Linked DNA regions of Caenorhabditis elegans. The protein of the gene in region 3 purifies or fractionates together with the protein of the main gene of each other region. This does not show direct contact. Each region holds a gene or a part of one and is shown on either strand. Other genes may lie near its edges. The genes, in order: metl-1, trmt-6, trm-61A and mtq-2.

What was found.
Region 1: the proteins of trm-61A (region 3) and metl-1 fractionate together in Caenorhabditis elegans (co-fractionation; one large-scale study listed by BioGRID). This does not show direct contact.
Region 2: the proteins of trm-61A (region 3) and trmt-6 fractionate together in Caenorhabditis elegans (co-fractionation; one large-scale study listed by BioGRID). This does not show direct contact.
Region 4: the proteins of trm-61A (region 3) and mtq-2 fractionate together in Caenorhabditis elegans (co-fractionation; one large-scale study listed by BioGRID). This does not show direct contact.

Annotation. Positions count from the first base shown.
Region 1 is NC_003280.10:11,468,174-11,475,453, forward strand, and holds metl-1 (tRNA (guanine-N(7)-)-methyltransferase), read right to left. Parts: upstream 5,403-7,280; 5' UTR 5,390-5,402; coding exon 5,298-5,389; intron 5,247-5,297; coding exon 5,184-5,246; intron 5,135-5,183; coding exon 4,740-5,134; intron 4,307-4,739; coding exon 4,086-4,306; 3' UTR 3,962-4,085; downstream 1-3,961. Other genes in the region: rga-1 (Rho GTPase-activating protein 68F), read left to right, coding at 59-333; cisd-1 (CDGSH iron-sulfur domain-containing protein 2 homologue), read right to left, coding at 565-792, 848-936, 1,332-1,419; slc-25A37 (Mitoferrin), read right to left, coding at 2,187-2,267, 2,729-2,845, 2,892-3,596, 3,785-3,838; ngat-1 (Beta-1,4-N-acetylgalactosaminyltransferase), read left to right, coding at 5,923-6,044, 6,102-6,284, 6,343-6,634, 6,684-7,093. UniProt on the Caenorhabditis elegans protein: Catalyzes the formation of N(7)-methylguanine at position 46 (m7G46) in tRNA.
Region 2 is NC_003279.8:9,140,035-9,147,946, forward strand, and holds trmt-6 (tRNA (adenine(58)-N(1))-methyltransferase non-catalytic subunit TRM6), read right to left. Parts: upstream 4,343-7,912; 5' UTR 4,336-4,342; coding exon 4,267-4,335; intron 4,183-4,266; coding exon 4,100-4,182; intron 3,549-4,099; coding exon 3,174-3,548; intron 3,060-3,173; coding exon 2,834-3,059; intron 2,785-2,833; coding exon 2,587-2,784; intron 2,531-2,586; coding exon 2,333-2,530; intron 2,217-2,332; coding exon 2,046-2,216; 3' UTR 1,937-2,045; downstream 1-1,936. Other genes in the region: ZK858.6 (Transmembrane 9 superfamily member), read right to left, coding at 1-39, 91-294, 470-729, 788-958, 1,012-1,271, 1,364-1,489, 5,459-5,563, 5,596-5,598.
Region 3 is NC_003279.8:12,726,065-12,734,690, forward strand, and holds trm-61A (tRNA (adenine(58)-N(1))-methyltransferase catalytic subunit TRMT61A), read right to left. Parts: upstream 6,659-8,626; 5' UTR 6,634-6,658; coding exon 6,464-6,633; intron 6,187-6,463; coding exon 6,033-6,186; intron 5,666-6,032; exon of another isoform or gene 5,594-5,665; intron 5,458-5,593; coding exon 5,326-5,457; intron 5,243-5,325; coding exon 5,067-5,242; intron 4,509-5,066; coding exon 4,308-4,508; intron 4,132-4,307; coding exon 4,026-4,131; 3' UTR 3,962-4,025; downstream 1-3,961. Other genes in the region: pfd-3 (putative prefoldin subunit 3), read left to right, coding at 2,191-2,247, 2,525-2,794, 3,382-3,612; vps-25 (Vacuolar protein-sorting-associated protein 25), read right to left, coding at 7,355-7,470, 7,868-8,032.
Region 4 is NC_003280.10:2,184,462-2,192,642, reverse strand, and holds mtq-2 (Methyltransferase HEMK2), read left to right. Parts: upstream 1-3,185; coding exon 3,186-3,296; intron 3,297-4,045; coding exon 4,046-4,270; intron 4,271-5,097; coding exon 5,098-5,427; 3' UTR 5,428-5,494; downstream 5,495-8,181. Other genes in the region: gba-2 (Putative glucosylceramidase 2), read left to right, coding at 6,222-6,261, 6,874-7,077, 7,128-7,280, 7,680-7,813, 7,856-7,928.

The DNA.
Region 1 (7,280 bases), on a different chromosome or scaffold from region 3:
TGAGAAAATATTTAAAGTCAATTGAAAACAGTGTTTATTTAATATCTGAATCTTTCAGAAGTATCGAAAACCGAGAAAAGCGCCGCCGTGAAAGAATTTGTGAAGCTTCTGCCTCGTGAAAACTACATTCTTCTGAAAACAGTCATCAAATTCCTAACTCGAGTCGCCGAAAACAGCAAAGTGAATCTGATGACTGCAAACAATTTGAGTGTCGTTTTCGGTCCAAATTTGACGTGGCCAACGGATCAAGAAGTGCCGATTTCTCAATTGAATAACCTCAATAACTTCTGCTATAAATTAATTGTGGATTATGATTCAGTATTTGATCATTGATCATTAGGGTGTTCAGCTTTTGCATTTTCCCCCGTTTTTCTGTACTTTTTTGCCTTACTGTAATTTATTTATTGCATCCATATTAAATAAAATTCAAAACACTTGTCATTTATACTAAAAATTAATTCACTGTATCCGTACTAAATCATATAAAACCGATGGTTTTCGACGATCACAAGAACATTTAGAAGTCAATAGATAATGAAGATCAATGATTTGTCGAGACGACGTTTACTTCTTTTCGGATTTGACGATGAGTGGGCCAACATTGTCGCCAGTCTCCTTGTTGTGCTTTCCATGTGATCCGTCACAGTATGGCCACTTCTCGCTCTTCCAGCATCTGCAGAATGCCTTCTTCTCTCCAATATCCTCAATATCGACGGTGTCGACGATCTTATTCGAGTCGAGCTGGATCTTGTAGTTGCAGCGAGCCGAACGCTGTCCGAACTTGTAACCAACCTGAAATTAATTAGTGAAATTGAAGAGGCTACATCAGGGGAAGGCTTGAACTTACAAGGTATCCAATAAGAGCTCCTCCCGCGAGAACGGCGGCAGTCGTGGCGACACAGCGACCAGAGACTTGAGTTGGGCAAGGCATGGTACCTGGAAAATTTAATTTAACAAAAAAAATTTAAGGAATAAGATTCAAGCGAAAAAAAATATATACGATTTATCATAAGGTAGATGCAAAATTTGGCGATTTTCGCATAAAAGTACAGTATCGGGTCTCGAAACGACCGCTTTGCTTTATTGGGAAAGAGTATGCGTCTTTAAGGAGTACTGTATCAATTTTCATAACTTTTTCAGAAGTGCTATCTTTTAAAATTTATGAGAGAATTCGCGAGTTGACAACTACAGTACTCTTTAAAGGCGCACACTCTTTCTATTGGAAAACCAGTCGCTTTGAGACCAGATACGTAACCTTTGACCAAAAAATCGGAAAATTGTGAATCTGTGTAATAAGAGGCAGTTCAATCAACAAATTATGCCAAAATTACCAAGCTCTGCAACAGAACAATGCTGTGGCGTTGTCCAACAACAGTGATCTTGAATGAGAGATAAAGCACAAAATCCAGCGATGGTCATTTTTCGAAGAAAATTGTAAAATATGTAGAAATAAATTTAAAAACCTTTTTTCGTAATCTATCGATTGATCTTTTTGATTAAAAAATTTGGACGTGAGAAGAAGAAAAATAACTTTTTTTCAAAGGTCAAATCGAAAAGAAAATCGATTTTTGTGAATTTGATATATTTTACAATTAGAATTTTTCGCTCATTTTCCGCCAAAAATCGAAAAATCTTCAGCCTCGTGGACATTATAAGATCACTAACAATTGTGAAAGAGAAAGAAAGTGACGTTGAAGTCGAGGCGGTCGCCTGAACATCAGCGCCAATCGCAGTAAAAACGAGAAAATGAGAGATAAGAGAGAAATAGACACAAGATACAAATTTCCGTGTGAAACTACGGAGCACAAAGAACATATAAATTCAGTGGAAACACTAATTTTTTATGTATTTATTTGAATTTTTGTCTCGAATAATAAAGGGATGAGAGAGGGAGGGATGGGATACAATTATTATGAACACTTTTCCACTAGAAATGCTCGCATAGGTTGATAGTCAAAGAAATCATTTGGATTCGATAAAACTTTCAGAACACAACAAAAAGAATCTAGAAGGCATCTGCACGGGTTTGACACGTGTTTTGTAAAAAAAAGAAACATAGAAAACTGAGAGTAATATGAAAAAAAAACAACAAAAAGAAATGAGAACTATTGAACCTAACCTATATGAGGAGAAACCTTGGAAAAGAGGAAAAATTGGGGGAAAAATTGGAGAAAAGATCAAAATTATCAACTCGAATGACCTCCTTCGAAAGACAACATGAATTTGAAAAGCTCGTAAACGGACCAGGAGAGAGCAGTTGCAGGAACCTGGAATAAAAATTATTAAACTGAGGTTTTTCTATTGCCCGGATACTGTACCAGGTCTCGAAGCGGCCGATTTTCTTAAATTTAACAGAGTGTGCGCCTTTAAGGATTACTAAAGTTGTTCTTCGATTTTTTGTTATTGTGATTTTCTGATATTTCGAAATTTTTCTTGATTATTGGAATAATATCATAAAAATTTGGCAACTAAATTTTTGTGTTTTTTTTTTCTGAACATTTTTTTTTCCAGAAAATCTAAATTTTATGTTTTCCGATTTTTACAAAAAAATAAAAAATCGGAAATTCTAGATTTTCTCTGGAAAAATCTAAATTTTTTTCGCTGTAACCGTTAGTTGGGAATTACAGTAATTCTTAAAGGTGCAGACCCTTTGCATTCAAAACAATCGATCGCTTCGAGACCGGTTACCGTATTTTTTGGCACGAAAATCAAAAATCTTAGACATTACCTGGAATATGACCCTAGCTTGTAATCCACACGAGAATCCGGATAGTCCACGTTGAGAATAAATTGTCCGTACGGCGTCAGAAATTCCACGATAACGATACCTAGCCTGTAATTCATTCTTTTCAATTATAGCAAAAAAATGCGAAGAATTCAAAAAAACTCACCTGCAAGAAAATTCGCCTATTTGCTGGATCAGCTTCTGCAGCTTGTTGCGTATTCAAAACGGTTTTCACACAATCCATTGGAGTCGTTAAAGCAGCTGCCAATCCGCCGGCAAGTCCTCCCGCAATTAAATGTGATTTCGGATCGTATTTATGCTCCGGATTCAGGACGTGCTGCCAGAATTCGTAACTCATAAAGTGAATTGCTTGGAATGGAACATTCATTGCCAGCTGTGTCGTGTATGATCTATAGAAAGCCGCCACACCTTCCCGATTATAAACACATCGAGCACATTCCAACGATGATCCGTATGGAGAGAAAGCCATTTGCATTCTTTGCTTCACTACTTCTGCTGGATTCATGATAGCGTCATGGATAAGTGTTGCAACAACTCCAGAAGCTCCATATGCTAACGTATTGCTGTGTCCCGCGGAGTTTCCCGTCAAATATCCCTTCATTTTCTCGTAAACTGTGAAGTATAGAGCGTGAGCTGGCATTGAGCCTGCAGCAACTGCATTAACTCCACGTAGCGGTCGAAGCCATCCTTCTCGTTTAACAATGCTCATCAGTGAATGTACAGGAGTTGGACATTTCGTTTCAGGGCACGGACAAAGTGATTGCATTCTCGTTTTGACCGAATCGAATGGAAACATGACACAATGCTCAACGGCTCCGGCCAGGGCTCCAGCTGTCAAGTGCACCTGAATCTTAGATTGTGATAGAATGGGAAACACTAATTGAAAATTAATTTAATAAAAAAATTTTAATTAATAAAAATGCGCCGAATTCGTAATGGAACTTCTCAAAAAAAAACACGTATTTTTTGAAGAAAACGGTTAATTTTTGCCGAAATCTTCAATTTTGTCAATCTCTTTTAATTAATTAAAATTCTTACCGGGACGCTGTGTGTTGGAAGTGATTCGTACTCATCTTCGCCACCGCCACCCATTTTGCCCAGTACTGAGTATCTGCTGAAAATGCGATTTAAAAATTTAATAATTGATTAAATTTAATAGATATATAAGTAGAGTTTGAAAACTCGATGGAAATAAGTTCAAAAAATCAGACTATTAGAAGAATTGGATTTCATTTAACAGACAAAAACACAAAATCAACAAAATAGTTAAATAACAACCTCGGAGGAGGAGGGAGAGTCTCGTGAAAAATTGATGAATGTTGGAAGTAGGCAGAGGGGATTATAAGGCCGGGTTCGGAAGTCGCCTGAAGATTGCTGGCCACTTTCCTCCGTCATTTCGAGTCACTTTTTGTCCTTCTTCAGTACTTTCAAAGAGCATTTCCACAATCGGATCTTTTTTCATTTCTTCTTCAGTCAGCCGTTCGAAAAGTGGATGCTCGCTGAGATGCTTGACCATCCATTCGTGTAGATCCTTGACATCAGTGATTGTGTAGATAATACCTGAAAAAATAAAAGTTATAACAAAGATCAATAGGCACAGCGGGAAAATGCACTTGTAGGTGCGCAGAGCTACAGAGAAAGGAACAGGTTTCTACTTAGCTATAGTTCTCACGTGGCACACATGGAACGGATTGTTAATTTTATTGGGCAGGGAATTGAAGATAGAAGCCTACGTGCAAATTTGAAACAATTAAAGCTTCAGAGATTGGAAAGTTTTCTGAGATCTATCGAAAGTCAAGAAAAATGTTCGGTGATGAAATGTCTCGCAGCAGCATACGGCCACGCGGTTAGATGATAAATATTGTTTGATGGCGAGAATTAGGGACACAAAGACACATTTTCAACCGTTGATACGCTATTCTTATCATTGAAACTATTCCTATTCCATTATCTGCACTTGTGATCACTGGTACGATCAAGGTCACTCTCATACCTCCTTCACGAAGCACATAAGCGTATTCGGAGAGCAGTGTTGGAGTGATGATCCGCCATTTGTGCTTCTTATTCTTGAAATGTGGATCTGGGAAAAGGAAGAACATCTTGGAAAGTTGTCCTTTGTGGAAATAATTTGGCATGTATTTCATGGCATTTGATCGGAGAACGGCTACATTTCTGTAGTGACCAGCTTCAGCGTGATGCTTTCGAAGTGCTTGGATTTTTTCGTTTACGTAATCCGACACTTTCACACGAATTTCCATACCGATCATCAGATTATCAGGATATTTAGGTGACAATCTCATCAAAAGACCTCCATAACCACATCCGATGTCTGCAAAATCCACTTGACGTCCTTTTGTGTAATCGCCGTAATATTTGGTCCAATCCATACTAAAAATTGTCAAAATTTAACAAAAGGTAACACTTTAATTTTACTCACTGGTTTGGAGTCAGTGGATATTCAATGTCATGATCAGAATGAGGATTCGAGTGAGCTCGCTGCCTGAAATCCTTTTTTATTAAATATTAAACTTTAGTTTTCTCAGAAACTAACCGATAATGCTTCTTTTGAGGCAACCCTGGAACTGTCTCGCAAGTAGGTTTGTGATCCAATTCCATTTCTGTCAGCGCAGGAGTTATGTCCATGTTTTTGCTGAAAATCACGAGTAAATTATGTAAATATTTACGTAAATTATACATTGAGGTAGTTGAAAAATGCGCAATTTAATTTTAAAAAGTTAAATTTTAATAATTTAAAAGTTATATTTACTGAAAGTTAACTTTAAAGTTATAAAAGGAAAAAAATTAAAATAAAAAAATGAGAAGATCGTGAAGTGCGCCAAGCGTAACTCGATTTGCGCCAGCAATCAATTTTCGTGCGCAACTTTCGTGTTGGGGAGTTCTCGGCGTCTCCTAGGTTTCGCATTGTCTCTCGCCTTCTTCACAACAATTCCCGTTGCTTCACTTACAACAAAAAAGACCGGACAACCACTGCAGTTGTTCTGAATATACTTCTCACAGCCACGCATTCGTTCTTTTTCTCTTATTCTGTCACATAACTTTCCCCTCAACACCTATTTACTCTATTTACAGCCGGATTTCTTTTCTGATCCCCTCAAAAAGTAATTTCCAATTTTCAGAATTCAAATGCATTGATTTATCGGTAAAAGCTACTTAAAATGAGGACCTCACACTGCATAATACGTAGTTTTTCTCCGAAACGACTTATCATTTTCGTTGCCGCCTCCACACTAATCTATGTAATGCTACTCAGAAATTCTACATTAAATGATGAAAGAAGGTTTGTTTTTGATATATTTTTATAAATGTGAGATACTAAATATTAAATAGTCTCCAGGATAGCAGCGACTGAAGAGCAAGTTCGATCTGTCAATGTCAATGTACAGCAATCAAAAAACAGCGGAGTCGCTGAAAGAACACACGATATAAAGGATCCTGTTGAATTGGAAATTGCTCGACAGACGCTAACATTTTTAAATATGGAAGAAGCCGTCACAAAACCAAAGCCACCGGTTAAAATGTAAGTTTTTTCAGTGATTATTGTGAATCTAAACTAAACGTTTTTTTTATTTTTTCAGCGCCGAAGAGGACGGATCTTGTCCAATAGTTGAGAAAATACCAGATCTTCAAGGCGCTCTTCCACAAGCCACACTTTTGATTCAAAATCTTCAAGAAGGAGAAGTACACGCAATTCATCCAGAACTTGGCCCAGGTGGCTCATGGAAACCGGATGATTGTCAGGCTCGCGATAAAATCGCAGTGATAATTCCATATCGAGAAAGGCAAACTCACTTGACTCGATTGATCGACTTTTTGATTCCAATACTTCAACGACAGCGGCTAGATTTTCGATTCATTGTTACTGAACAAGTAAGAATTTTTTTAAAGCAATGCTTAAATAAAAATATTAAATTTTCAGTATGGAAACGACTTGTTCAACAAAGGCCGAATTATGAATGCTGCATTTATCTTCGCAGAAAGCCTTGGAGTCGATTGTGTAGTCTTCCACGACGTCGACATGTTCCCACAAGACGATCGGAACCCGTATTCGTGCCCACCTGGTCCACGTCATCTTGGAGCTTTTGTCAGTAATCTGGGATATCAATTGTGGTACAAGGAGATTGTCGGAGGCGTTTTAGCAGTATCAATGGCAGATTATCGTGCAGTTAATGGATATTCAAATCAATTCTGGGCGTGGGGAGGTGAAGACGATGATATGGGACAGAGAATACTTTCATTAAATTACACAATTGAACGACCAAATCCTGAAACAGGGAGATATTCTATGTTGAAGCATGTGAAGAGGAAACGGACTGCGCCGAAGTTGATGTAGGTTTTTATCAGGCATTTTCTAGTGTCAAAATATAAAAAATCACTTGATTTAAATTTATCTTAAAACTATTAATTTCAGCTAAAACATTGGAGAAAGTACTAAAAAATTGTTTTGTAATTTTTGAGGTTTTTATCCATTGTTTCAGCTGGAATAAATGTTATTTTCTGATAAATCAAGTGATTT
Region 2 (7,912 bases), 3.6 Mb from region 3:
CTCGCGAAGCTGGAGAAAGCATACCAAGCATCGCACAGACTGAAAGTTTATTTTTAATATCAAATTTTCGTTTTTTCAGATATAACTAACCAACAACAATCGCTGACATTCCGAGAAGTTGAATTCCGGTTCCAACCATATTCACAAGGATCATTTGATGTGGTGGAGGACGAAAGACATCTCCATGGACAAGCTTCCATCCTGTCTCCTCTAATGTGTCGTCTTCTTCATCATCACGGTTATATTGAGCTATATCACGACGTACTGTACGAACAATAGTGACACTTACAAAGCCTGGAATAGAAACAAAATTATTGATAATTTGGTTTTTGAAAACTTATTTTCTCAAAAGAAACACTCAAAAACATACTATTTCGCTATCTCTTTCTTCATCTACTAGAAGTAAAACGCGAAATAGTATGAACGCAAGAATTTGGTAATTATTATGTGCGATGAGAATCGTACTCACCAGAAAGTGACAAAACGACAACAATTGAGTTGAGAATACTGAACCAATGAATATCGACAGCCTTGGTAGTCAGGTAAACATCCCATCTTGAAGCCCATGGAACATCACTCTCTTCAAATGCTACTGAATATGAAAAATCAACGGATTGTTCAGAGTCCCCAAGTTCGACATGCTTCGTTCCATCATCTGGCATCGAGCAAGTTCCATCATCGTTCTTCGTGGCGGAGATCGATCGTGGGCGGACTTCGAATCCAACGACTCTGAAGAAATTACACTGGTTGTTTCATAAAATACTTTTTTAATAAAAAAAAAACTAACCTGTAGAGCCCTGGAGTGTGCTGATGGTACTTGACGACAAATTGAAGATGGTTGTTGAGAAAAACTTTTGCATTGTCGCCAATCCATCCGAGACGGTATCCCAAATCGTAGTACACGTCTCCAGATTGCGCTGGATTGATAACAGTAGCAACTGGCAAATTGTCGACGATTCTATAAAAATGCAATAAATTCACAGAAAAAACGGGGAATATGATAAAACTAACAAATGAGCAGAATATTCCTGTCGAATTCTTTCTTTGAACAAGGCGACATTTTCTTTTGACAATTTATTCGAGCATACTGACACGCACTGTTCGTTCTTCTTCATATGGAAAGCATATGGAGTGTTAACGATTCGATCACCTCTCATAACTTCTCCCAAGTTTTCTGATTTGTATTGGATATCTCCATTTGCTGGTTTACAAAATGGAACCGAGTAGTATTCGAAAGGCATGATATTATTTGAGCTTGTCAGTTTAATAGCCTGTAAATTGCGAAATTAGATTTTAAAAGTTGGTTTCTTAACACTTTTTTCAGACCATGATATTTTTAATCGCGTTGCAGCGATTTTCTTACCTTGACATCGATCACATCTCCGGCTTTGAAATCAACCGGAGCCACTCCAGGCACATAAAATCCTTGCTCGAGAGGTATAAGAGTGGCGAGCACCAAAAGGGTGCTAGTTCGTAAATAAGCCATTAGCTGTAAATAATTTTGAGCTTATTTGAAAGAAAAATGTAATAGGAAGGGAATTAAAAGCAATATATTGACAATTTCTTAACCTAAATATTTGTAAAGCCCGTCAATTAATTAATTAAATTGAAATATACATAGCTAGAACTCAAAATACCGTTTAAAAGAGAAAATATTTCAAATATTTATAATATTCAAAAGCCTAGCAGAAACGTGGATAATCGCGCAAAAGCTTATCGGCTCGGCGAATCTCTTGTTGACACGCATGCGGCGCGGTATTGTGGGTGGGGCTAAATGGCGTGGATTGGTAATTTGCAAGTGTGACGCGCACTTTTTTGCCTATATTTGTTCAGTCAGAATTATGGCATTTTCCAGGAAGATATAATGGTTTGATAAAGAAAATAAATATTGAAGTATTGAACTGTACATATTATTAAATTTTAAGTGTAAAAGATTGAGGAAATATGCAATTTACTCGGAAAATTCAACAATAAAAAATAACAAATAAAATGCGAATACGGTGATCTGAAAAAAGAAAAACAACAATAACAAAAATAATAATAAATTATTGGTCAATAACTTTGATTCCAGTGAGAATATGTCCGCCAGCGACGTGCTGAGCCATTAACGGATGAGTTCTATCAGGTAGAACTTGCATTACACGACACATTTGATCAGTAAGAACTAAATTGATTGTTTGACGCTTTGACAACCAATCGTATGCTGAGATGAGGATCTGGAACAGAAAATAGTTTTTAAAAGGTTTTTTGAGTAACTGGAGCCAGAATTCAGTTAAAATGTAATCTGGTCACTTTAATGTGAAAAAAAGATAATATTTTATATAATTTTTACATTTTGATGAGGAGAGTAGATGACAATCGTCCCAGATGGTGCCAGTTTGGGATAAAGAAGCTCCAAAACACTGATAGGATCGACAGTACGACTTCCAATAATTAAAGAATGAATTTGTTCATCATTAATCAAATCGATTCCTCTCTTCTCCCGATCCAAACGATCATTTCGGCGAGCAAGAGCCTCTAGATCTTGATCCTATAAAATTTAAAAATTTATTTCCATCTAAAACGTTGTCCTAATTTTTCAATTACCTCGATTTTCTCAGGTTCCTTATCTCCATTGACTTCCTCCAAATTATCATCATCCCCATTTACAGCCTTTCGGTTATTGTCATATGGCAGATGTTTGCCTGCTAGAACACACTTAATTCGAACCGGTAAAAATGTGGAAAGTGTGTTATCATCGTAATTCATAGAATGAACACAGGGAATTGATTGAGCTACCGCACCCTGTAAAACCAATATATTTTGAAAGGATGTTTTTTTTCGAAGAATAAACCCTATGAATATGAATACAAGCACCAGTTCCACCGAGTCTTTCAATAACTGCAGAGGTAATAAGTCCAAGTGTTTGTTCAAATACGACGACATTCTTTCCATGGTGAAGCCCTGCCATTTGAAGAATTAATGCTAATTGATCAGCACGAAGCATCGCAAGACGATCAGGATCTTTCAAATAATAAGCTTTAGCCAGAAGACGGATGGTTGGACGGAGGATTAATACTCTGAAATTATTATTCGCAGAAGTAGAAATCGGCAAAACCCCACTTTTATCAATAAAAAACTCAAAAGCTTAAAATTCAAAAATAATTTAAATTTAAAAACAATAGCTGACGTACCGATCACTATGTTTTTTGGCTTTTCGTTTGATATATTTGCTCTGTGAAAAGACAGTTCTTGTCTGAAATGATGCTGAACCTTCAACAAGTTTGGCAACCATTTCCTGTCCACTGACTCCTTGCTTCTTCATTTCCAATACGGCATCCATTTCCAATTTTTGACGTTTTTGTTCGGGCTCAAGTTTAAGTGCTGAAGGCGCGATAACAACACGTGGATCTAAAGATGGTTCCGATGGTTCTGTTACTTCAGGATCTATGGATGAGGTGGCAACGGATGCTTCTTGAAGTTGAAGTTCTTCAATTAGACGATCAACTGACATTGGAAGGCATTGATTATTGGATACTTCGAATAGACCATGAGGCTTTCCAAATGCACTGAAAATATCATTCTTTCATTACAGTATCTTTTACCATCATTGTTCGGGTACCACATACAGTGCCGGCCTAAAATCTATCCAAAACCTTTTTTTTTTAGTGAATTTACAAGTTTTCGAATTTTTATAGATCTTAAAGAAGGAGGAACGGTTCTGGGTATTTTGGACGTATATAAGAAAAACCACAAAATAGTTTGCAGAGCATTCAGTTTACTTTTCCAATAGAAAAAACCACTTTAACCCCATTAATATTATCAGTTGAATCAATTGAACGTAGGGTCTGCTGCCCTTTTCTTTGAATTAATCAAACTGTTTGTCAAAGTGTTTGCACAACGATTTTTAATCGTCGAAAAAAAAGAAAAATTTATAATCGGTTAGTGACAAGGGGCGAGAATTGATATGTGACTTTTGAAAAACGGGGCACGTGTTTTATGTTTAGAATGCACTTTGACGTCACTGTGGTTTTTTTGTGATCAAAGTTTCATTTGAAAGAGCTCGAAAATTGGAAGTTATTCGGAAAATTATAATTAATTTTAGAACTGGAAACCTTACCTATCGGCTACAAACTTCAGCTTCTCAATGAGAATCTTTTGCTTTGGAGTAAACCGGACTATGCGACTTTGTTCGCCATCAATCTGAAAATTATTTTTTTTGCTGTAATTTTGTTCTTCAATTCAATTTTAATGTGAAAATTGAACTTTTTCCAATTCAAAAAATACCTTTTGCACGATAAGATACTCTCCACTTTTTATGAGTTTTTGTGATGTTTCCGCAGGTTCGGTTTCCATGTTTGATCTGAAAAATTTGAATATTCAATTGAAAATCGACGAGACGGCTACGAAAGGCAACAGAGAACGAACGATAAAGTAGTCAAAGAATATCGGGAAAAATGTGATAAAAGAGGGAAAATGAGAGATTGCAAATATTCGAATATTTGTTAGGAGAGGTATTGAATTGGTTTAAAGTTGAACTTTTACATCTTTTTTGAAATAGTTTTTTGTACTTTTAAACTGGGCAGTTTTTGAGTTCAAAACATTTGGAATAGCTTTCTCGGACTATTCAGATGCAATTGGATTCCGGACTGTAAGCTAAGTGTATTTTTTGAGAAAAAAAACTGAATAAGACAAAAAGCATTCAACAAAAATGTTTTTTTTGCACCCAGAAATATGTTTTTCGAAACAAAAACATCAATTGAGCCCAGGGTGAGGGTTTTTAAAAATTTTTTACTAAAAACCGAAATATTTTAGTTTTTCTTTCGATATTTCTAAAAAATGCAGTTTTTCAAAAAATAGCTTAAAATATTGGAAATTTTTATTCAGTTTGGACAAATTTTTTTAATGCTTTTTTTCGTCAATTTAAACAAAATTTAATATAAAATTTATTTTTATGGTTACTCTTCTGTATTTTTTTTTATTTTCAGATTTTTTGAATTAAAATAATTCTGAAATCACCGATTATTATGGGAAATTTGGTATTTCTTTTAGAAAAATTTTTGATGTGTATTGTGTCTTCTGTATCCAATTACAATGTCACAGTTTAGAGGAACAAGTACACAGAGAAGAAACTGTAGAGCGATCAACTGACGAGATGAAATTCAACGTGTGTTCATAATTGATAGTTGATATTTAGTGAACGATCATTCTTTGACGAACAATTTCTCTGTATCTTTTTGATTTGTTTCTCTTTAAATAAGATTGTAAATATAACATTTTTGAATTGGTTTCCATTTTATTTTTGAAAAAAAATCAATTTCCTTGTCAACAATATTTTGTTGATAATTGCCGCATTTCAAAAGAAAAAACTAGTTTTTCGTCTTCTACTCAACTTTTCTATTCTCCACTCTATCATACAAAGAATTATTAACAATACCCTAAACTCATCTTATTTGCTTTTTAAAGACTTTCAACCCACCGATCCGCGATTTGGGCGGTCTCTCGAAAAATTGTGATAAGACGATAAATCATCAAATAGAGATAGAAAGTGGTAGTGACGATAATAAAAGTGTGTGAAGGCGATCTTTAAAGATTGCTTGTTTGCCAACTGCCAACCATTATTGTTATAAAAGATACCCGAATGTTCTGATCAAGGTTACGTTATCAGTGAGGTTTTCCACGGAACTTTGGAGTCTTGTGATCTTTTTCAACTTTTTCTCTCAATCCGGTTATCACACATGTTCAAAACGTATTATTTTTGTTTACCGAAAATAGAAAAGTTCCTGAAATTTCGACTTAAATTTAGAAAACCTGGTAATAATGAACTTATATTATCGAAAAAATACGATCGCACAAATTTCTCATAATTTTGATCTACCTGTTGAACTTGACTCCGCTCCCAATCTTGATGCCGTTGTTATTTTGTTGTGGCTGTTTTATCAAAGGAAGGGGAGGAGCCTAGTCAACAAGGTAGATCAAAAATAAATTATGAGAAAATTGTTCGATCGTATTTTTTCGATAATATGACAGAAAGGGATTACTGTAGTATATCGTCAGATTTTACTTCCCAATTCAAGTATTGAACAGTACATAGAGCTTACAATACGAACTGAAAATAATCACATCTGATGTATGATTTTACTGGAACACCGCAAACCGATATTATTTGTCACCTGTCTAACTGAAAGTAAAAATGAACTTTTGTATGTTCACCCATTAGTCTAGATTTCCCATATAACTCCCACAGTGCATAACTAAATCCATCAGAGTTTGTATTTAAATTCGGAACCTCATGTTTTATTTCACAGTTTTATCATCATTTCCCGCTCATGTTTCCCAAGTGATAGAGACCAACTGATTCGTAACGTTTTGATGAACTGGTCATTTTGTGAACATTCAAATTCATTCTCATTGCTTCTAGGAGCCTAGGTCTATAACTATTACTTGAGGTCGGTTAGAACTTTTGAACTAGAAGAATGCAAATCGTTAACTAAGTTAACTTCCATTTTCTTGGAATTTACTAAAAGACTTGTTATACGATTCATATATCGTGTAATCTTTCGGAAGAATCGTAATGTTTATGAAATCTTGAAACAAATCGGATCAATGCCCAATCAAGAAACATTTTTGTTTTTGTTGCCATCTTTCGGGAATCACCCCGGTTCCACCTGGCACGAAAAAACACATGTGAACCATGTGAAAACGTTTAGCTGGTCAGTTGTTTGAGGGGACGTTTCCAGAGTTTAACACTTGCATCGATCAATGATCATAGGGGAGTTCCAATCAGCCTTATTAAATAGCAGGTTACTACAGTGCGTGCAACTTCTATAGCGCCCCCTATTTTTTTCGTATTTCGTCACTTTCCCAAACTTTTTTGAGAAAACCATTATAGCCATTCGATATCAAATGTCAAAAAACCCCCTGTCCGAAATTTTCATGAAAAAATATCAAAGACTACGGTAATTAGGTCAAAAAGTCTGAAAAACGACCGTGCAACTTCTATAGCGCTCCCTCGAATTTTCGCTATTTTTCAATAAAATACCTAGTTTTATGAGAATTCTGAAAAGGATATAGTATTCTATATTAAGAAAAATGATCATAAGGTCTCATTTTTCAATTTTCAACAGAAATATATTACGTGAAAACTTCTGGGATCCCAAGAGTGGCCTGAAACGCTTCACTTTGCGTTAGTGGCCAGTTCTCGGCTCCCACTGCATGTATTGATACGAAACTTGACCGAAATTTTCATTTTGATTTACTGATAATGTTTCAAAAAGTTGTCATAAAATTTGGTCAATATGGGCCAGGTTGACAGCCCAAGTTAATAGTAAGGCTAGTAACCAATCAGTTGTTCTATCGATAAAACACATCTGAGGCAAGTCAGAGAATGGATGTGCGTCTTTTCTGGTAGACAAGATATCCATTCAATTAACCATTTAAAACAAATTTTGTCCGGATCGAAAAATGTTGGAAAATGATCGGTAAAATTCGAGAAATATCCCTCAAACAAATTAACAGGTGCAGAAACACTGGGCGGGTCTGTTTCCCGTGGTTTTGCGCGTTTCATTCGAGATCGAACGACAAAAGAACTGTCGAAGTGTTCAGAGGGGTCACAGAACTTGCATCCGAACTTAATATTTCAAAGTGTTTGTTAAAAACTAAAAAATTTCAACAATGAATATGAAGCTTTTCTACCAGAAATGAACCGCGTCCAATCTCTGGCACGTCGCAAAAATCTGTTCTAGAGAGAAAAACTGATTTCCTCACAATGAGCAGCGCTATCTACCATACCTATCTCCACCGAATTTAATATCAACCTTTCAAAATATCTTTAGTGAACAAAATTAAATGATTAGTTCAAGTTACGTATCAATACATGCAGTGGGAGCCGAGAACTGGCCACTAACGCAAAGTGAAGCGTTTCAGGCCACTC
Region 3 (8,626 bases):
CACGGAACCCTCGGAGGTTGCAGAAGCTCCAGCTAATCCAGCGGATCATGAAGAAACTGAAGTCCTTCCATTGGCAAGTGGAGCCTCGAATTGGAACTTAACGTTTTGGATTTTGTGTTTTTATGGAATAAAGTACTTTTAGTTGGGATTTTTTTGTGCTCCGAGAGCTTGGAAGTCTGCATCTAATGGGGATTCTGATCTTCCGGGAGAATCCATACACATGGTGTCAGAGTGTCCCATATCGGCTTGATCTACGTAGATTTACAAAAAACGCGGGAGAAGAGACGCAAAGTTCTCAACTGATTTCGCATGATTAAGAACGTGCTGACGTCACATTTTTTTTGCAAAAAAATCCCGCATTTTTTGTAGATCAAACCGTAATGGGACAGCCTGGCACCATGTGTCCGTTTGGTTACAGGGGCGGTAAGGCTTAGTGGCCTACAAATCTGAAGTTAGGCCATGATTTTTTTAATCGAAAAAACACTGAATTCCTATTCAACTCAACTTGCGAAAACTCTATGCGCCGTTGAACTTCTTTGCAAAAGTATTGATAATAGGTCAGCGGCTACTTTCACGCCAATTCGAAATTTCGAAATATTTCGCAATACCTATGTACCTTTAAACCTTTTTCGCGTTGAGACCTACTCCGACAATTTCCAGAACCATGCTCTCCAATTTTGATGTATTTTTTTCAGAAACAGAAGGACAAAAAATAGTTGTATATTAAAAGCGAACCCCTACGCGTCGTAAATCGACACCGGCCGTGGCCGAGATAAAATGGCCTAGTTCAGCCAAATCTTAGATTTAAAAATATGAAAGCTAGTCCTCGAAACGTTTTTTATTAAAAAAAATTTAACTTTCGGGAAAAAACAAAAAAATAGTACGTTTTTCAAATTGTTTCGGATTTGATTGATTGAAAAAAACCTTTTTGGAGTAAAAAAAATTTCAGATTAAAAACTAAAAATTTTCTAATCACATCACCTGTCACACACGTTGGAAAAAATGATTTATTGAAAATTTTCTGGCCTAAAATAGCTCTGAGAACTGGAAATTTTCTAAAGAACCGAAAAATTAGTAACTACGAAATTCCAGCTCAATTTCAGCAAAAACGGAGCAGCAACGGGGGGCTAAAATAGAAGTTTGACGTATTTCGGCAGCCATCCGGCACCAGGCGGAATATTTAAGTGAGAAGGGTGGAGTTACTCGTCATTTACCCCCGGAAGTTTCTAATAGCAGCTGAAAATACTTTTTTTGGATATTAAACTATTTTTTCGAAAACTTGGGTTATTCTCAGAATGAATATCAAAATCATATTAAGCTCGTTGAGAGCTTTGAAATGACACCCATATTGACATGTTTTGGGTCTCGCTGCGAAAAAAAATTAAAGGCGCATAAGGGTTTTTTTTTGAAAATTTCAAAGTATGGCTTGATTATACTTTTTGAAAGTTCTCAGCGGGGAGAACTCTGAATTGAGTAATGCTGAAAATTTTATTCATGGCCTAACTTTTGAAATTCTAGGCCATATAAGAAAAATCACATTTTTAAGGGTTTTAGACCTGATTTTTAAAGTTTCTTTTTTGAGAAATAAAAGCAATTTTAGAAAATTTTCAAATATTCCACAAAAAAACGTACAAAAGCAAAAATCTCCATCCTAAACGACAGAAAATTGGCGAAAAAATGAGAATTTTGGAAAAGATACGGCTCGGTTTCCGGAAATCTGCACACAATACCCATCGATACAGTCTTTGTAGTGGCTTTGGCGGATAGAAACTTCACAAAGATGTGCTCAAAAGCTCAAAAGCTTTCCCGCGGGCCACTTGAAGCTTCCGCTCATCCACCGTATCCGATTTCGTTTTTTTCCACCGCAACCGATTTGTGTGATGGACGCAGAGTTTGGTTAATGATATTTTTAATTTGAAATTTATCTTTTTTTTAGAAAAAAAATTGAATTTTCAGGGATTTTCAGCTACTTCCTGCGATTTTCCATTAAAAATCTCTGCGTCTCAATGTCTCCCCGCACTCTCTCGCTGGTTCTCGTCGAGAAACGCGCCAAGGCGAGTGCTGGCGCACTTACTGGGATCGAAAAACGCGTCAACTGGAATTTTCTTTTTCCCCGGAATTTCTACGCTCAATTTTTACCGATTTTCCTCGAATTTTTTGCGTTTTTTCGCAAATTTTCATTGAAAAATCATGTCGGACACAGCGGACAGTCTATCAGCACGTGGAATCCCAAAAAGCGAGCTCATTGTAAGTCGGAAAATTTAAAAAATTGAAAATCTCTAAAAACTCGAGAAAAAATCCAGTAAACCAGTATTTTCCATTGAATTTTGGAAGAAGTCTCAAGAATTTCCTCAAAAAACTAAGTTTTCCCTCAAAACTGAAAAATTCGGGAAAAAAATGTCAAATCCTATTTTTCAAACAAAAATTGGAGTTTGTTATGGAAATTTTCTGGAATTTTAGTGAAAAATCTTTAAAAAATATTAGAAAATTCACAAATTCCTCTCTGAACCCCATTTTTTTTCAGGAAGACGTCGAGTCATGGCTCACAAAGGAGAAGCTTTCGATCGAGGAAGCCGAAGTTGTGCTCCGTGAGAAATACGGAAAGTACAAATACGTCGAATCATCGATGCTCGCTCAAAAAGTACGAATGAGCGAAAAAATCCCGGAATTCGAGAACAGTTTGAGCATTATCGACACATTAATCGCGAAAAGAGCCGCCGATGAGTCGTTCGAGACGACTTTCCTGCTCTCCGATGATGTCTACACAAAAGCCACTGTTCAGAAGCCCGAGAAGGTAGAAAAAACGCTGAAAATTCAAGAAAAATAGCTGGAAATCGATATTTTCAAGGAAAAATCGCCTAAAATCAAGTTCCCACAATTTTTTCCTCGAAAATTCACAAAAAATGTGATTTTTCAACCAATTTTAACACAAAAATGCCAGAAAACCCCATTTTTAAGGAAATTGGCACTTGAAAACCGCAAAAATTTGAATTTTTGACTTTAATTTTTTTTTTCCCAAGAAAATACCTAAAAATCCTCATTTTAAGCCAATTTCAGCATTAAAAAAGGCTGAATTTTAGAATTTTTAGTCAACTTGCACAGGGAAACTTCACAATATTTTTTTCTAGCTATTTTTCAAAAAAAAAATCAATTTTTGATGCGAAAAACTTCAAAAAACCAACTTTCAGCAATTTTCGGCAATTTTTATCGAAAAAACTCAAAATTTCGTATTTTAAAAAGCAATTTCCTCCCAAAAACCCAGAATTATAATTTTTTAGCAATTTTTCCCGGAAAAACATTAAAAATTCTGATTTTCAGCCCTAAAAATGGCTCAATAATTCAATTTTCAGAAAAACCCTCTAAAATTCCCGAAATTTCCAGGTATCAATCTGGCTTGGAGCCAACGTAATGGTCGAATATGACCTTGAAAATGCTCGAAAACTGCTCGACAAAAACCGTGGCTCCGTTCAAAAAGTGGTCGACGAGCTGACAAACGAATTGTCATATATTAAGGATCAAATCACCACAACCGAAGTCAACATGTCCCATATTGTCAATTTTGGAGTTAATAAACGTCGTGCCGCTCTCGCTGTCAATAATGGAGCGAAATAATTGATCAAAATTACACAATTTTCCCCGTTTTTCGCCCGAAAAATCTCTTGAAATCCCCTTTAAAATCCCATTTTTTGATTGTTTCTGCTGAATTTTTGTTGAATTTTCCGTATTTTTGTCCCGCCACATCCCCCCGATTTGCTTTTAAATTTTGCTATAATTTTTCGCCAATTTTTCATAAAATTCAAAAATCCAAAAAAGTGCAGAAATTTTGAAAACAAAAATCGATTTTCCCATATTATTTGACTAAAATTGGATATTTTTCACTATTTTTCAAAAGATTTTCTCCAAAAATCGTGATTTTTTCCCGTTTTTAGCTTGAAATTTGCAATTTTTCTCACGAAATTCAAAAATTCAAAAAATTTAACAGCAACAAAAATTTAAAAAATCAACAATCAAATTAAAAAAATAAATTATTCGGCGACCGGGAGCATCGTGGCATGAGTCAGGTACCCAGTGTGTGTTGGCTGAGAATATGGATAGACGATTGCAATTGTGATACGTGGAATGGCGGAGCTGCTGAAAATTTGCACAATTTTAGCTCGATGGCCTGGATTTTCACTCCGGGGTTCGAGTCCCCACTGTGGTCGAAATATTTTTATTGGTTCTTTTTCAATTTTTTTAGGGTAAACCAAGGGTCCTGAGCTCGAAAATCAACATCTCAGCAGCCAGAAATCAATGGAAAATGCCCAAACCTTTGCTCAACGATTGTTCCATCGACATTTCTCTTCCGTTCCTTCGGATAAGCATCACCGAGCTCTTCAAACTCTTCAAGCGTCTGCCGGTGTTGACTGACGATCTTCTTCTGCTCGGGAACGAGCTCAATCGTCTCGATGCTCACGAAACCGGCGGCCGCCATGGCTAGGCAGGCACGTTGGACTTGTTCCAGGCACGGACTGTAAGAAAAATCGGGGGTTTGGAGCAAAAATTGGGGAAATTGGCTGAAAACGAGGGTTTCGGGTTCAATTTTTGCAGGGAGTCGCCGGAAAATGTAAAATTTTTCGGTTTTTTCTGAGATAAACGAAAAAGTAAAAAAAAACAATTTTTTTGAATTAAAATTTTATGAAAATTGCCAAAATTTCCAGTTTTTTTCACAAAATCAAAATTTTTCGTTTTTTTCTGTTTTCTTGCAGAAAATTGGAAATTAACAAAAATGACCAAAATGTTCAGTTTTTTACAAAAAAATTCAAAAAAATTTTTTTAAGCACCTCGAAAAATCGAAATTTTTGAATTTTCGATATTCCAAAAAAAACTTTTGTTTCCCTTTTCTATTTATTGTTACGAACAAAATTTGATAAAAGTTTGAAATTTGTGTTAATTTTCCAATTTTTATCCGATTTTCACTGGAAAAAAAAACCGAAAAAGCTAAAAAAAAAAGCGAAATTTTTCGGCAATATTTCGGGTCCCAGGCCCATTTAGTCTTAATCAGGCTCAATTTTTCCACTGATAGCTACCTAAAAGACACTAGACGACCTCCACGAGCCCGGAAAATTGATTTTGCGGCGAATGGGATTGCCTCCCACGGTGCCGGTACATCCAGGAATACCCCGTCGGCAGCGTTTTCCACGTGGAATCCAGAGGTGCAGACATTTCGAACGACGGCCGTCGTCACGGATCCTAGGCCATGAACCTGGAAATGTTTGAAATTAATTTTCCAAAAAAAAAAAAATTTTGCGAAATTTTTTTTCAAAATTTTTTTTTTGCTCAAATAACCTTAAATTCCTCCAAAACTTTATGAGTACGTGTTTCGTCGATATCATGTGTATACAGATGTCCGGTTGGTGCAACGGTCAGTGCAATTGCATGGGACAAGGATCCACTTCCGGTTCCCGATTCGCAGATTACCTGAAAATTTTGGAAATTTCAGTGTTTTTTAGCATTTTCTAGAAATTTATGGGCTTTGGGATATTGATTTTCGGGCTCAGCATCCTTGAATTACCCTTAACAATGTAAAAAATTTAAAAATGCCGTAAAAATATTTCGACCACAGCGGGGAGTCGAACCCCGGTGTGATAATTCTTAGCCATGAATTTTTCCACTGCGCCATTTGGCCGCCGAAACAAAATTGCTTCAAAATTGACTTCCGTGGTTTTTCAAGGTCGCTGAGTTCAAATTTGATAATGAAAATTTTCAAAAAACTGCGATAAAAAGTGTTTCCGGGAATTTTTTATTTTTCAATTTTTTCGGTGTAATCCAATAATTTCAGAACTTTAAGATATCGATTTTCGAGCTCAACACCTTTGAATTACCCTACACAATGAAAAAAATTTTTAAAAAATGCTGTAAAAATATTTCGACCACAGCGGGGAGTCGAACCCCGGTGATTCCCAGTTGTGTATTTTCCCACTGCGCCAATTCACCGCCGAGCCAAAATTGCGAGGGGGGTTTCCGGGGGTGCTGAGCTCAATTTCAGTACTTACAGAGCCGGGTTTTGCGTCTAAAAGCGACAAAATCTGAGCACAATCAGCAGTGTAGAGGATCTGTGTTCGACGTGGCAGGGCGCGAGTCCAAAGATCAGAAGTTGGACGAAGAATGTAGACGTAGCCGGCTGTAGCCGAGAGACGTTGACCCCATCTGTAAAATTATTGATTGTTGAAAAGAAATATCGATTTTTAATTAAAAAAATGGGATATTTCAGCGATTTTTGACTAAAAACCCTGGTTTTCTGAGTTTTAGAAAAATTGAGAATTTTCGGCGATTTTTTATTTTTTATTTTTTGACAATTCTAACTCAAAAATTGACGTTTTTGACCATTTTTTGGCAAAACGTTCGAAAAATCGCTATTTTCTGCATTTTAAGCCGATTTTTCACCGTGAAAATCCTTTTTTTTTTTCGAAAATTCGATTTTCACCTTTTTCCAATAATAAATTCGTGACGTAGTGCTCCATATTTCATCATTAAAGTCTGTCCCCGTTTGACAATTGTTGGGACCATTTGTCCATAGGTGACATAGACAATTACAGTATCTCCTTCTTGAATACGATCTTCATATGACATGAATGACGGTGGTGATGACGTCATTCTTTTTTGAAAAAAATGTAGAAAACTGAAAATTTCGAGCAATTTAGAAGAAAAATGAGCTAAAAATGCGGGTTTTTGAGGAAATTTGCGTTGGAGCGCGTTTGCAGAGCTATTTAATTTTTTTGGCGCGAATTTTTTGGGTTTTCGTCAAAAATTGAGTTTTTTCAGCATTTTCTGGCAATAAACTGTTTTTAAAAATAAAATAAAAACATTTTTTGAGAAAATTGAAACATTTTTAATTTTTAACGATGAAAATCTGATTTTTGGCGGATTTTCAGGGTTAAACAACGAGAAAATTCGATTTTTTTAAAAAGTTGCATTGGAGCGCGTTTGCATCGAAATTAAACGACGATTTTTCGCGCGAAATTTGAATTTTCCTGTGGTTTCTGACAAAATTATCTATTGAGCGCGTTTGCAGCGAATTTAAATGGAAATTTTGGCGGGAATTTCAATTTTTTGAACAAAGCTAAATTTTAAATTTTTCTGAAAAAAAAATCCCGGAAATTCAAATTTTCAATAAAAAAAGTCATTATTAAAGGTACATAAAGCCGTCTAGAACAACAAAAAAATAAAATTTACAAAAAAAAAACGAAAAATGTATAATTAAATGGCAAGAAGCTTCATTGGAAAACTAGAAAAAAGAGTGGAAATAAATAATAAAAATTCTAATTTTTACATATTTTAGGGGAAAAAATTCAAGATTTTCCACAGAAAAAAAAAATCAAATAAATTTAACGCCTTCATTATCTCCACCGATATTCATCAATTGAGCACGTCGTTGCTCTTCCAAACATGTCAACGCTTTCATCAGAATTTCACGCTCCAAATTGTGGAATGCTGAAAAAAAATTTGAATTTTATATATCGCTTTTCGAGTTCAGCGCATTTGATTTAGTCTTTAGTCTTTTAACATGCGAAAAAAGCCAGTAAAAATATTTCGACCACAGTGGGGACTCGAACCCCGGTGTGATTTTTCTCCCAGTCGAGCATTTTCGCACTGAGCCATTCGGACACTTTTTGCAAATTTTACCAAAAATCCGAAAAAAAGTCAAAATTTTCAAAAAAAAAAAGCCAATTTTTTTTTTGGAAATTTAGGAAAAAATTCAAAGTTTTTGAGCTCAAAATCGATTTTCAGAACTTTTTTGGTGGAGTTTCTGTTAAATTTTCAAATTTTCCGGTGCTGAGCTCGATTTTCACCAAATTTCATAGGATTTTCATGCTTTTCATCTGCCTACACTCATTTGTAGTATCATCTCCGTGGGTAATCTCGTATAAAGTGAGTGGTGTATTGATAAATGCATTCTCAACCGCCCATTGGTAGATCATATTGGCCCAAACATCGGGTCGACGCCAGAAAATGTGGAAACGTGTACGGCCGTTGTCCGTGAATTCGATTAGTTCTGGAAATGTGGGAAAATTGGGTGAAAAATTGGAATTTTGACATAAAAATCAAGTTTTTTCCTACAAAAAGTGCTGAATTTCGGTGATTTTTGGTTATTTTCTAGAGAAAAATCGGATAAAAATGCGAAATTTGGGGTTTTTGCCAGAAAATTTGAATTTCCCGCTGAAAATGTTTTTTTTTCAAAAAATTTGAATATATCGCCAAAAAAATTACTTAAAAATTTGAATTTCCCGCTAAAAATGGTTTTTTTTCAGAAAATTTAAATTTTTCGCTAAAAAATCCTCTATAAAATTTGAGTTTCCTGTAATAATATTTTTAAAATAAAATTTGAGTTTTTCGCCAATTTTTTTTTGTCAGAAAATTTTGAATTTTATCTTATAAAATACCTTTTTCTTTTTTTTTCAAAAATTTTGATATTTTTTCCAGATTTTTGAATTTTTTGAGCCAAAAATTTGCGAAAAAAATGTGATTTTTGTGGGAAAATTCTATAAAATTCCAATTCAATTTTAAAAATTTCAATTTAAATCTTGTTTTTTTTTTCATTAAAATTAAGGAAAAATCTGATTTTTCGGCGATAATCGAGTAGAATTTG
Region 4 (8,181 bases), on a different chromosome or scaffold from region 3:
ACAAAAATCGATAATTTAATTTTTTTTTTTCCAAATTTTTTTTGAATTTTATCAGAATTTTTGCTAGAAAACCGCACAAAAATTTCGTTATAGTCAATGGGTATTTTTTAAATTTTTTGTTTCCGATTTTTCGGAGATTTTTATCGAAATCACCGAAAAATCGATAATTTCCGTGAAATTGTGATATACCAAATTTTTATTGATTTTTTTTTCTTCGTTTCTCTGTACATTTTCACTTCATTTCCTGTTTCTTCCAATTTTCCTGATACAAATAAATTATGAATTAAATCTGAAAATAATATATTTTTGGTCGTCAACTTTCCCCAGATTTACCTAAAAACAATACTATTACTAATTTTTTTTTTTTTTAATCCTTAAAAATCGATCTGAAACTCAACATTTCTGGTTTTTATTATCAAATTCGAGTTCCCCACTGAATTTGAGGCAGAAATTCGAAACCTAGAAGTTTCTAGCTCTTTTTTGAATAATTTCGAATTTCGACCGCAACGCGCGTCAAAAATTGCTGAATTTTTAGTTTTCAACCTATTCTGGTCGATATGGGGTTCAAAATTTAGCAAATTTTGCGGGGAATTCGAATTTTCTAATTAAATTTCTCCAAATATTCGGGAGTAGTCTGAAAGTTAGAGTTCCAGTTGAAAATTTTGAGTGAAATGGACTAAAAATTAATTTTTACACATTTTCGGAGCCAAATTCGAATTCCCCATCAAATTTCAGTCTGCAACTCGAAAACTAGAGTTTTCTATCTCAATTTTGACATTTCTAGGAGTACGGTAGCGCCAAAAGTACGCAAACACCGAATTTCACGCAATTTTCGAATTTTGAGCTGAAAATTTAGGAATAGACTAAGAAAATAGCGGAGAATTCGAATTTAATTATAAAAATTTTTTGAAAATGTTTTGAATATCACTTGGGCCGAATTTTTTCATTTTTGCGACCAAAACACAAAATTTCCTATTTTTCAAAATCTAGAAAAAACGAGGATGGTCAGCAAATCCCGAAAGGAAGTATCATCTGTTTCCGTCTCGACAATTTTCCCTAACACGCAGAGACCCCCGCCGGAAGACGGGGGTCTCTGTGAGGGGTCATCGAAAATGAGCAGTCCCAAGAGATTTGGACCTTTTTTTTGCAGAAAAACACAATTTTTCTGTAGTTTTTTCCTGGAAAAAGATGTCAAGTTTAGGTGTTTTCATCGAATTTTTTTGGAAATTTCTTGCAAATTTCAATTTTTACAAAACTTAAAATTTTTCCTGAAAATTTTCATTTTGAAATTCGAATTCCCCGCCATTTTCTTAGTCTATCCCTGAATTTTCAGCTCGAAATTCGAAAATCGCGCCAAATCGGGTGTTTTGGGGGTACTGTAGTCGGTGTTTGCGTATTTTTGGGGCTACCGTAACCGGGAAAAATTCAAAATTGAGCTAGAAAGCTCTAGTTTTCGGGTTTCTTTCTGAAATTTTGCAAGTAAATCAAATTGGACATGGAAATTTCGAATATTTTAGCAATTTATCGATTTTCAGAGATTTTTGGCGTTTTTATTAAGTTCAAAAACGATTCGCAGTATTCTAAATGTAAAATTCGAATTCTCCACCGTTCAATTAGTATATGTGTAAATTTTCAGCTCAAAATTCGAAAATCGCGTCAAATTTGGTGTTTCCGGGTTACTGTAGTCGGTGTTTGCGTATTTTTGTAGCTACCGTACCCCAAGAAATTTCACAATTAAGCTAAAAACTTCTAGTTTTCTCGTCTAAAGCTGAAATTTTGCGGGGAAATCGAAACTATTAATGAAATTCTTGAAATTTGAGTTTCAGACTGATTTTCAGACTGTTTTCGGCTCAGCTCCCAAGCCAAAGATCAGTTTTTTTCCCTGTCTAGTCACCACAGCTGTCAGGGGGTCCCAAGAGATGAGCCCTCAAAGATAAATTTTCTTTGCGCAGCCAAAAAAAACTGACCGCCCAGCCATTTATTTTTGACAATTTTTAGACCGACTGGCAGTGCCAGGACTCCCAAAAAGAGGCGAAGCTTCCGTTTTGGGTCCTCTTTTTTCTTATTTTTTGCGGAGAAAAGAAAAGAGGCGTTGATTGTTTTTCTTGTTTGAAAAAGAACCAGAAAACATGAATTTTCATACATTTTCTATTGAAAATTGCCGGAAAATAAGTCTGAAACCCAAATTTTTGAAATTTTATTATAAAAATCAAGTTCCTCGCAGAAATTCAGTTTTGAACTCGAAAACTAGAGCTTTCTAGCTCAATTTTGAAAGTTTGAGAGTTACGGTAGCACCAAAAGTACGCAAACACCGACTACAGTACCCCCGAAACACTGAATTCGACGCGATTTTCGAATTTTAAGCTGAAAATTCATGGTTAGACTAAGAAAATGACAAGGAATTTGAATTTGATAATAAAAATCCGGAGAAATTTTTTGATTTTTTTTGAAATCAAAGATTGAGTCACAAAAATCTTCTGAAAAAGACCTCACAATTTTTTATTTAAATTTTTAGTTTGAAATTTGAATTCCCCGCCAGTTTCTTAGTCTATCCCTGAATTTTCAGCTCAAAATTCGAAAATCGCGTGAAATTCGGTTTTTTGGGGTATTGTAGTCGGTGTTTGCGTACTTCTGGCGCTACCGTAACCCGGGAAATTTCAAAATTGAGCTAGAAACTTCTAGTTTTCGGGTTTTAGCCTGAAATTTTGTAAGGAATTCGAATTTTGCAGTCAAGTTTTAAAATTTTGGCTTAAAAATCGATTTTCATAAGATTTTCAGCCAAAAATTTGAATTTTTTTTTCAAAATTTTTGAAATTTTTGAATTTTCTCCAATTTCTTCCAAACACTCCCAAGTGTCATATTAACCAATTTTGACCCCAAAAAAGTGCAAAATGTCCCCACAGAAAGTCTCCCAAAAGTGCAAAAAACCAGTGAAAAGCTGTCAATCTCATCATCCGGCCGCCGTCTCAGATTTCTCCCCCTTTTTTGCACTTTGCGCGTCAAAAAAGGGCGGCAGAATGAAATTCGATTAGAAATTCTTTCTTTTGTCGCCTTTTTTTCTATTTTTGGGAGAAAAAAATTTTTTGAGAAAAAAATTTTTTTTTTTTTTTGGAAATTTTTTTCCAGATTTTCTTTTTTTTTCTAAATTTTCGATTCTTTTTTAAAAAACATTTCCATTTTTTCAGATGTCAATGCCAACTCCCCAGTATCGGCTCCAAGCGATTCGAGCCCATGACGTCTATGAGCCAGCCGAGGACACGTTTCTCCTCATTGATGCTATTGAGAAGGATATTAAGGTAAAATGAGTAGGAAATTCGAATTTCTCGTAAAATTTCGGTTGGAAGCGCGGAGAACTAGAAATAATTTTGAAAATTTTTGAGAAAAAAAAATTTGGAAAATTTGGCGAACAAAAATTTACAACATTTTTTAGCCTAAAATCAATTGAAACTTTTTTTTTTGGTTTTGATAATAAATTCGAATTCCTCGCAAAAATCCAGTCTAGAATCCCAAAAACTAGATGTAAATTGCTCAATTTTGAAAAATTTTGCATTTGAGCCGCGACGCGACCGCAACGCACCTCAAAATTGCAGATGTTTTGGTTTTTAACCGAAACTAGTCGATGTGGATGTCAAAATTTCGGAAATTTCGCGAAGAATTCGAATTTTTAGTTAAAACCGTGAATTTTCAGAAAGAAATATTCTTAAACTTGAAATTTTTGCCGAGTTTTTAGTCTGAAATTTAAATTTTAAAATTTTCATTGCCGTATTTGAATTCCCTGTAAAATTCTAGTCAGACACTCAAAAACTAGAAGTCCCTAGCTCTTTTTTGAAATTTCGAGGGTTACGGTAGCGCCGAAAGTACGCAAACACCGACTACAGTACCCCCAAAACACCCGATTTCACGCGATTTTCAAATTTTGAGCTGAAAATTCAGTTTTAGACCAAATAAATGGCGGGGAATTCAAATTTAAGGATGAAAATTCGCGGAAAAGTTTTTGAACCAGTGAAAAATCTGAAAAAAATCCCGAAAAACCTCAAATTTCCAGGAAATCCGATCTCGCGACCCCAAGCTTGTACTGGAAATCGGATGTGGTTCGGGAGTCGTCTCGACGTTCGTAAATCAGGCTCTCGGCGGAAATGTGACGTCAGTGGCGACTGACTTGAACCCACACGCGTTGGATGTGACACTGGAGACCGCAAAGCTCAATGATATTAAGATTGATGTGGTTCGTACGGATTTGTTTGCAGGATTGGAGAATCTACTTGGGAAGGTTGGTAAAGTTAGAGAAAAATTTGAAAAGTTGAAAAAAAATCATAAAAGTCGAAGGCTTTTGAAGAAAATTCCTCGAAAACTGGTGTCCACAATTTTTTATCAGAATTTTCATTATCAAATTCGAATTCACCGCTATTTTCTTAGTCTAAACCTCAATTTTCAGCCCAAAATCCGAAAATTGCGTAAAATCGAGTGTTTTGGGGTACTGTAGCTGGTGTTTGCGTACTTTTGACGCTACAGTAACCCTCAAAATTTAAAAATTGAGCTGGGAAGCTCTAGTTCTCGAGTTTCTGACTGAAATTTTAAGAGGAATTCGAATTTACAATTCAAATTCAGAAATTATCAAGTAATTTTGACACGCGCTGCGGTCGCGTCGCGGCTCGAAACTCGAAAATGTTTAAAATAACGCTAGAAAAGTCTAGTTTTTTTGCAACTTATTTAGAATTTAATGGAGAATTCAAATTTCTAATGGAATTATAAAAAAAAGAAATCTCAGAATTTATAGAAAATGTCTCCCGGTAACACAATTTCCGTGATATTTCTCGTGTTTTTATGTAAATTTTTGAACTCTCCACAAAATTCCCAAAGTTTTGACACCCATATCGACTAGATTCGGTCAAAAACCCAGGGTTTTGGCTTTTTAACGTGCGTTGCGGTCGCGTCGCGGCTCGAAACTCGAAAATCTTCAAATTTAAGCTACAAACCTCTAGTTTTCGATTTTCTCACTGATTTTTCGCAGGGATTTCGATTTTGCCGATGAAAATTTAGGTTTTCTGAGTTTTAGCGACGAAAATTTTCTTTTTTTTCCAAATTTTTATTTTCCAGGTAGACGTGCTCCTCTTCAACCCACCGTACGTCCCTACTGACGAAGAGCCCAAATCAAACATCGAATTGACCTACGCTGGCGGCCGAACCGGTAGATCAACGCTCGATCGTCTTTTGCCACGTGTCCCCGAGCTTCTGTCCCCACGTGGTGTCTTCTATCTCGTCGCACTTCACTCGAACGATATCCCGGCACTGCTCAAAGAGCACTCGGAGCAAATGACGGTGTCAGTGTCAATGGAGCGCCGTTGCGGCATCGAACATTTGTATATTTTGAAATTTGTGATGAAGGAGAATAATGTTAAAGCGGCGCCACTTGCGGAAATTGAATAAATTTGTTGTTTTTCTTGGATTTTCGATAAAATTCACGGAACTTCAATAAAAAATCTGAAACCACTGCATAATTTCAGTTTGTATTCGAGAAAACTAGACGTTTCTAGCGATAATTTGAAAATGACCACTGCAAGGCCGCGACGCGACCGCAACGCACCACAAAAACCTTTTTATTGACGAATTCGAATTCTCCACTATTCAATTAGTCTCTCCATAAATTTTTAGCTTAAAATTCGAAAATCGCGTAAAATCGTGTGTTTGGGGGTACTGTAGTCGGTGTTTGCGTACTTCCGGGGCTACAGTAACCCGGGAAACTCCAAAATTGAGCTAGAGAGCTCTAGTTTTCGAGTTTCAGGCTGAAATTTTGCAAGGAATTCGAATTTTACGGTGAAAATCTAAAATTTTGCGATTCAGATCATTTTTAGACAGTTTTAAAAAACTAAAAAAATTCTGATCTGCTTAAAAACTTTTTGCCACATTTTCCAAATCTTCTCAATAGCTCGAATGTGATTGTTCCTAATTTCAAATAAATTTTCAAATGTGAAATCATCTTCTGACTTGAGTTTTCAGTCAGTTTCTAGTCACTTGTGACTTCCAGGCCACAGAAAAGCACAAGAAGCACACACATTTTTGTGCGATTTTGTGTGGAAAGTGACCAAAAAGTCAGTAGCTGGCTAGAATCACAGGCTACTGATAAGAAAATGACTTCATCAGTACAAATTGAACTGATTTCTAGCTTATCAGTATACGAGTATTTAAGTTGAAAATGAGAAAGGAGGAGTAGTCTACACATAATGTCTATAGCCTGGAGTTGCTTTGTTTTAGGGCTTTTTGGTGAGTTTTTGATTTTATAAACTTAAAAAAAAAAAATTTTCCAAAAAAATTTAGAATGTTTTCTATTTTTTTCTTAAATGTCCACTAAAAAATTTAATTTTCCACTTCATTTCTAGCTAAACACAAAAAACTAGACCTCTCTAGGTCCATTTTGAAGATTTTAGTATTTGAACCGCGACACGACCGCAACGCACCCCAAAATCCTAAAATTCTTGGATTTCATCCGAATATAGTCGATATGGGTGTCAAAACTCAGCAAATTTCACCAGGAACTTGATTTTTATTACCTAAAAAAGTTACGATATACCGTTTTTCCAAAAAAAAAACTTTTCTTTAATTTATCTTTAAAAATTTTTGAAAACAATATTAAACAATTTTTTCAGCACTCAATTCGAAAGCCAATTCAACTCAAAATTTTAATATTAATACAAAAAACTAGACCACTCTAGCTCCATTTTGAAAATTCCCATATTTGAGCCGCGACGCGACCGCAGCGCACCCCAAAATCCTATAATTCTTCGATTTTGTCCAAATATAGTCAATATGGGTGTCAAAACTCAGAAAATTTCATGACTAATTCGAATTTTTCAACGAAAAATTCAAATTTTTCAGCCCTCGCCTCCCTCCAGGTGGCACTCGCCAATGATTGCGCCCAAAAAACCTTCAAAACCGGAATTGTGTGTGTCTGCAACATAACTTATTGCGATGAGATCCCAGATATCAACTTACTATCCGGGCAGGCTGCCACATTCACAACTTCCAAATCCGGAGCCCGACTGCATCGGGATGTGGTTTATGCGACAAATAGTGACCCTTGTAAGCAACTTTTTTTTTGAAAATTTTTACCGTAATCTCAAAAACTACAGTAACCAGCATGCACTTCACAATTGACTCGTCAAAAACATATCAGACAATCCAAGGATTTGGCTCAACGTTTTCCGATGCTTCTGGTGCGAATTTGAAGAGCTTACCCGATCAGATGGCTGATACAATTCTGAGACAGTATTTTTCGGATTCTGGTAAGTTATTCGATAGAAAATTCAAATCTCTACAACTTTCCCTCTTGAACCAACATTCTAGGACCAATTTGAAGAAAGTTATAGCAATAGTTCAATGGAGCGCGTTTGCACCATCGAAATTTTTTGCCAATTTTCAATTCCTTGTAACTTTGTTCAACGGAAAGCTACGAAGTTGGTGCAAACTGGAAAATAGTAGATCATAACATTTTCTATCGATTGACATAAATTTTGAATAAAATCTGTGAGGTTTTGCAAGTGCGCTCCATTGAAATTTGGCTATAACTTTGCTCAACGTAGTAATAGAGCGTTGGTTCAAGAAGCGAATATGTAGAACATTAAAATTTATATAAAAATGCAACTGCGCTCCATTGAACTTTTTACCTAACTTTGCTATTTCAGGCCTGAACCTGCAATTCGGACGGGTTCCAATTGCCAGCAATGACTTTTCAAGTCGTGTCTACACTTATGACGATAACCTTGAAGACTACAATATGGCACATTTTAGCCTGCAAAGGGAAGACTATCAGTGGAAGGTACTATTAGGCCTATTAACAAAAAAAGACTGAAAGTTTCAGATTCCGTATATGCAAATGGCGCAGAAGTACAACCACGATTTGAAGTTTTTCGCCGTGCCGTGGAGTGCGCCAGGTACGGAATTTTCCAGAGTTTTTTATGCCATTTGATAGAAAATTTCTTGATCTACAAATTTGCCTCTTGAACCAATTTTCTAGGACGCCGCTAAGTAAAGTTATGTCAAAAGTTCAGTGGAGCGCACTTTCACTAAATCTCAAAATACGCATATGCGCTCCATTGAACTTTCTGCATAACTTTTTTCAACGGGGTCCTATGAAGTTGGCACAAGAGACAAACTTGTAGATCGTAACATTTTCTATCGAATGAC